2 linked regions of the Oryzias latipes genome follow. The protein of the gene in region 1 interacts with the protein of each later gene in a pairwise test. Links are inferred from orthologs where the notes say so. Each region holds a gene or a part of one and is shown on either strand. Other genes may lie near its edges.

What was found. The genes of interacting proteins can lie anywhere in the genome.
Region 2: the proteins of NGFI-A-binding protein 2 (region 1) and zmynd19 interact in binary tests that used the Homo sapiens proteins (3 or more experiments, as listed by UniProt). The two-hybrid records come from large-scale screens. The link is inferred for Oryzias latipes from reciprocal best matches to the Homo sapiens genes NAB2 and ZMYND19.

Annotation. Positions count from the first base shown.
Region 1 is NC_019863.2:27,736,968-27,740,955, reverse strand, and holds the start of NGFI-A-binding protein 2, read left to right. Parts: upstream 1-1,179; 5' UTR 1,180-1,613; intron 1,614-1,784; 5' UTR 1,785-1,850; intron 1,851-2,060; 5' UTR 2,061-2,078; coding exon 2,079-2,975; intron 2,976-3,080; coding exon 3,081-3,235; intron 3,236-3,988. UniProt on the Homo sapiens protein: Acts as a transcriptional repressor for zinc finger transcription factors EGR1 and EGR2. Isoform 2 lacks repression ability.
Region 2 is NC_019870.2:12,313,486-12,316,122, reverse strand, and holds part of zmynd19 (zinc finger MYND domain-containing protein 19), read right to left. Parts: intron 1,479-2,637; coding exon 1,419-1,478; intron 1,335-1,418; coding exon 1,228-1,334; intron 581-1,227; coding exon 440-580; intron 266-439; coding exon 85-265; intron 6-84; coding exon 1-5. UniProt on the Homo sapiens protein: May be involved as a regulatory molecule in GPR24/MCH-R1 signaling.

The DNA.
Region 1 (3,988 bases):
AAAAACGTGATTTGCTTTTGTGAATAGCTACCATCTACAATGTGCATTTTTATAAATTATTTATGACAGTTTTTAAAGTTTAAGTAAAAGTTGAATAAGTCACAAAATGCATGATATAAATTATAAAATGTCTTTAAAGATTTTGTCAGCTCACATTATTAAAGGATTCATCTCTAAGAGACAAAAAGTTAATAATCCGAGAGACAAAGCTTTATTTAAAAACATTAAGATTTTATGATTGGCCCAGTGTTTTATCTGATAAAATCCATTCAACTGCATAAAAGGTTTTATTTACATGGTTGTTTGTTTATTTAGTCAACACTTTATTAAATTATTTAATTTGTTTGGATCAAAATAGAAATAGCTCTATGAGAAATCGTACTTTTTACTTGATCTAATTCACCAAATTTGTCTGTCATGGGTAAAATCTGTGGACCCTGAGTGTTTCTTTATGAATCAATGACTTGTTTTTAAAAACTATTATCTTGCAGTAAAAAAAAAGAAGAAAATAATATAAAGGATTTTGATTGACTAACCTTAAAGAGCTCATAACAATTTAGCCAATCTAATTTCTTAGAAATTAAAAATTTCTCAAAATTCTATTTTAACATGGTAATTTAATGGTCATATGGTAATTTGGTAATTAAAAAAAAAGGGATTGATTTTTTTTACATTTAATACTTTTTTGACCGGTACTTCAAAACTTTGAAAGAGGTTTAAAGTTATCCAGATTATCAAATCCTTAGATCTGACTCTGATCAATTATTCTTATGCTGGTTTTTCAAAACTTTGCTGGATCAAATTCTCTCGAATGGCCACTGGGCCTTAATAAATTCACCTCTTCAGTTGGACTTCAGTTAGAGCATTCTTGTTGTTTTATGAGATATCAAGTCATTAGAGCTTATCTAACCCATAACTTCCCCCCATTTTGTTGTTGTAGGTAGGAATTCTGCAAACACAGAATTTGTCTTTCAGTCTGCTTTTTTAAAAACATTGGCTTGCAGGTAAAACAAAAAACAATAACATTTTAATTTAAAAAGTCACGTGACATATTTGGTTACTGCGTTGCAGGGATTGTTGCATCACAACCTCACCAGACAGTCAGTAATGATGGAAAACCTCACAAACACATATTGTTTTTGGAGTGTTTTTTGTTTTTTATCACTTTAACAAATTAAACTCTTAAAAACGTACACATTTAGCTGTCTTTGATCCATCAACACTAGTTTGTCAAAAACCTTTCTGGTGAATTAATAGACTGCAGGGATTTCTGCTGGAGTCCAACACATCACAACCGTTGTTTGGGGTCTTTGACGCGACCAAACCCGGGAATCCCCCAAAGCTCCATCCAGCCAAAGACGCACAGGGTTCATTTTAAGCCCCCACCACCACCACCCACACCTTCCATTTGAAAGCCGCCTCTCTACCGGGAGAGGAAGGCTCTTTTTCGGTCAGATGGCGTGCTGCAGTCCGCCCCCGTCATTCTCCAGCCCACACAGACAGCAAAAGGCAGCCAGCAACCAATACGTTGCGCCGGAGGAGGATTTCTGCCAGCGATTCCGGCGAAAGGGATTTACTACGACAATCCGAGCCGCGGACAAGGACGGAGAGAGGTAAGAGAACCGAACCGGGTCAGGATCAGCGGGATGGGAGGCGGAGAAGAAGGTCCTAAACATCTGGATGTGGAGCAGCTGTTTCCGGTCTTGGTTTTAGTCAGAGCAGGGGAAGCCACAGGGGTTTCTGTTAAAGTTATTTTCTAATCGATGTCATGTTTTATTTGTCAGACTCACCTGGAAGGACTGCTCTGTGTTTATTCACAACTTCATTGAATAAAAAAACAACAAAAAAAGGTAAGAAAAACTTCCTGCATTGGTGTTTTCCACATCATTTTTGTTTCTTTACATTGTTTAATTTTTGTTAAATACATGCATGAACAAACTGAATAAATGACTGTTATTTAACTTTCATCATTATGGATTTTTATTTGTAATAAGCAGTTATAAGAACTACTTTCTTGTGGAGGATTTCTCAGTTCACCTTCATGTTTCCCGCGCCTATAGGCTCTCCAGCGGTGTGCCATGTCTTTGCCACGCACACTTGGGGAGTTGCAACTCTACCGGGTGCTGCAGAGGGCCAACCTGCTGGCCTACTATGAGACCTTCATCCAGCAGGGCGGTGACGACGTGCAGCAGCTCTGCGAGGCTGCGGAGGAAGAGTTTCTGGAAATCATGGCATTAGTTGGCATGGCCACCAAGCCACTGCATGTGCGTAGGCTGCAGAAGGCTCTTCGAGACTGGGCGGCCAACCCAGCCCTTTTCAGCCAGCCAGTTGCCAATGTTCCTCTGGCGGGCATCCCACTGTTTAAGGTGGACGGGATGGGGATAAGCGGTGAGCCCAGGAAGTCTTTGAGTAACGGGCAGCCAGAGTCCCCCTGTGACAGAGAAGACCGGGCGTGTCTTACCCCGATGCACAGTGGCAGTCCGAGGAGCCCCTGCTCCCAGGCTTCCCCACAACCTCCTGAGACACACTACAGAGAAAAGCTGTCCCCCTTGGACCCGCACTGGCTCAGCACCGAGCCGGACGCTAACGGTGCTCTGGCGTCAACCTCCGAAGTAGAAGAGGAGCCGCTCAGCCCGCCCATGCTGTCAACATGCCCTCCTGGCCCCTCCGTATCTCCAGGGCCATCTTTTACACCAACAGGTCTGTCGGCGTGGCCCGGAGGACAGCTGGACGCGGAGACGGTGAGGGCGGTGGCAGAGAGTGTTGACCGGCTCTTCAGGACCCTGCCCCGGTCGGATTCTGCGGAGGTGAAGACTCTGCTGAGGATGAACAAGAAAATGTCAAAGACCGTGGGCCACATTTTCAGCATGGGGCCCCTGAACGCAAACAAAGAAGAGGAGATCCGAAAATACAGTCTTATTTATGGACGCTTTGACTCCAAGAGGAGAGAAGGCAAGCAGCTCACACATCATGAGGTAAAAGCTTGAAGTCGAGACGACCAGAATGCAATTTCTACCCTAAATTGACCATCAAATCATGATAAATAGTTTTTATCTTCATGGTGTCCGTTCCTGTTTCAGTCAGTGTTTTCCCCTTTGCAGCTGATCATCAATGAAGCTGCAGCCCAGTTCTGCATGCGGGACAATGCACTTCTGCTGAGGCGGGTGGAGCTCTTTTCTCTGGCCCGGCAGGTGGCCAGAAAGTGCGCATACACCTCCACCCTAAAACATGCGAGGTGAGGATGCAGAGGCTCCGGTGGAAAACACAGCATCCAAAAAACAATGCAGCACACAAACACAGAAAAACAAAATTTAGAAATTAGCTTTCATACTTTATAGAGGATGTGAGTCACATGCCCCCCCAGGAGGTTCAGAAGCCTGGTTCAGATCTAGAATTAAACTCCAGCCTCTGTGGTTTCACTCAAACTTGCAAACTCTAAAAGCAACAAACAAAAAAAAAGGTTCTCTGCAAAAATGTGCTGCTAAACTACATATCTTCACTTGTCATTATAGGATCATATTCCCACATACTTTTCAATATTAGAAGCTTTTCTGTTGGTTTTCACTTAAAGAAGAAATAACTTGCCCTATCAAATCAGTGTTGTAGCAGGACGATACAGAAAAAGTTGTTCTAAACTCACCAAATGAGAAGATTTCTTTTTGACAGTTTCAGCCTTAGGATATTTCTTATACTTAAATGAGTTACTCCTTCTAATTATGAGTAGGTTTATTTTTTGTAGAAATATTAGTTCAAATTCGGATGTGGAGAGAATGAATCTATCTGGCGATTATCCCTGTAAACTTTGGGCAAGTCACCAATCCATCATTAATTTAGGTGTTTCTGATTGATACGTCCATCAGTGAACAGACTAAAAGTCAAGTATCTTTTCAACTTTTGCTCCAGTTGATTGTCTGGAATTTACAACTTGAAGAAGATTTCTTCTTTTTGTCAAAAAGAGGTTATTTTTGACAAAGAGATTTCCTGTTTT
Region 2 (2,637 bases), on another chromosome or scaffold:
CGCAGCTGTCAAAAGACACAAAAGATCATTCATTACCCTCTGACACTTTCCATGTTGTAATAACTCAGGTTAAAAAAGACCTACCCTCCTCTCGATGAGTGAACAAGGAGGGTAATGGCACTCGTAATAGGTACAGGAGCACTCCTCCTCCTCCACCAGCTCCCCGTTAGCATTGTAGTAGCGTGTGCGACTCAGCTCCAGGTACTGCTCTTCCACAGGGTCCGCGGGGACCTGCTGGATGGCCAGCCAGTACAGAGACTGCTCTCTGGACGGGAACAAAAAAAACACAAGGCGTAAATCTCAAAGATCAAAATTGAAAAAGAAAAAAAAAATCAGTGACTTGAGCTTCTCAGAGAGGAGGAACTGTAGTGTTGTGTAGGGACAGTCGCCTTTAGCAAGAGAAAGGGTACTTTGTGAAACAGCTCAATCTTTTTCCTACCTCTGCTTGCTTGAAATCTCCTCTGGCTTGGGGCTCCAGCCCACCGGTACCAGCCGTAGGTTATCTAGTCGGTTGTCCACCGTCACAGAATTAATGTGGATGACTTGGAAACTAGGAGCAATGCCTCCTCTGTGCTTCTCCCTGAGTATAGACAACAGTTACCAACGTGACAAAAAAACAAACAGATTACCGTACATCTAATATTCCATGTTGTAAACAGGACAACTAGAATTGTAGGTTTTAAGATGATATTTTTTAAGTAATGACACTAAACTTAATCTCTGGGGGAGTAATTTTTTAAAACATTTTTTATTCAGATTTCAGTGTATTCTGATAATATATACACAGGTGGAACCCGAGCTGACTCTACTTATGCCAAGGAAACAGTGGAGGCCAACCTCACTTAATCCAATCAGGAAAATCCTGAAAGGGTCAAATGGGAGTTAAAGAGCGATGGAGCATCAAGTTGTACTGGTTGGAATAATTTCCCCAAAAATTCATCTGGTGAGGCATAGTGGTCTGACTGGCATTCCCGGTTCTGATCAGAGAACTTGTTGATGTGTGTTGCAGCCTTGAAAATCCTTCTACAATGTAACGAAATGACACTTCCAAAGCAATGAGGCCTTCGCAAATGATCTTGTCATTTTTAGGGAATTTGGGAATTTAAAATATTGCATAATTCCATGGTGATAAGGTAGAGCATCTGATGTACATTTAGTGTTTTACATATATGCTTGGATTGGCATACATTTATCCTAAAAGGATCAATTCCACCTAAAGGTACTCACCACAGCAGCTCATGCAGCGGTCTGCCTGCCCACCGTCCTTTGCCGATATCAAAAGCATAAGCAAAGATTTTAGCCCCGTTGCCATCTGCATCTACCTCCATGCGTGCCTGAAAATGGAACCAGCTGCAGTTGTAGCATGGAAAATGGCAAAAACACTGCAGTTACAGCTGAAAAAAATCAAAAGGTTTTACCTCAAAGGCATAGTTTTCCACCAGTGGTATGTCCTGCTCATCAATTAGAGTGTATTTTGTCTATAAAAAAATTAAAAAAATGCATCAGCACCAAATGGAAGCATAACTTCTAAAACAAAGCAAACCAAATCACAGTTTTTCTCTGAATGTGTGTGGGGGGGGGAATAGAAGCTCAAAACCACATTTCAAAAATTTGATTCTAAAGATAAAAAAACATTTTTTTTGGTCTCCTTAATGCCCAGTAAAAGCTTTGTGATTGCAGAACCAAAATTGGTTGATTATTAGTGACTGTTAGGGCTGCACGATATGAGGAAAACTCGCGATATGCGATATTGGTGATTAATATCGCGATAACGATATAATTTGCTGTATATAAACAAATAGCCAAACAACCAAAAACATCATTTACATTTCACTGCAAAGGTTTAAAAATTATACTCCAAATGACCCTTGTCGACGTAGGAGGCAAACATCAAACATAAAAGGGCTCCATCTGATTGATCAACAAGGTAAACGGGTCCTTCCGATTGGTTAAATGCATAAAGGGATTAATTGCATTTGTTCACTATTTCAGGCTGCCATGAGTTTTTTTTGCACATTTGCAGGGGTTGACATAGCCCAGAAATTTGCACTGGCCCACAGGGCCAGTAGTTTTTGAAAGTTACTGGCCCGACACCGCGCACAGCGAGACCCGCCGCTCCGCAGGTGCTTGCAACTTTAGGGGGGTCCGGGGGCATGCCCCCCCCCCCCCCGGAAAATTTTAATATGGTGCAATTTGGTGCATTCTGGTGACATCTAGCACTTATTTATACACTTTTCAATGACTAAAAATAGAGCATATCAAACTTAAATCTGCTCTAGTCTGTTTCAGATGTTTTGAAGGGAGCCCTGCAGTGTAGTAGTTAACACTAGTTAAAAAGTTTTCATGCTGCTTCTAATCACTGCTATTTCACATTTGTTCCTAATCAATAGTTAAGAAGTTTTATTGACTCTTTTGCCCTGACTGCCTTAAGGTTCTGCTTTTTGTTACTGTTGCAAAGTTACATTTACTTTTTAGTTACTTTAGTTACCTAATTAAATTAAATAATTGAAAAATTAAATACAATTAAATTACTGAGATCATTCAGCTAACTAGAAATACTTACTGCTTACAGTGTTGTAAAGAAAAACAAAATTAAGTAGTTTGACCTTATACTCCATTTGAGTCTGAGATTCAGGT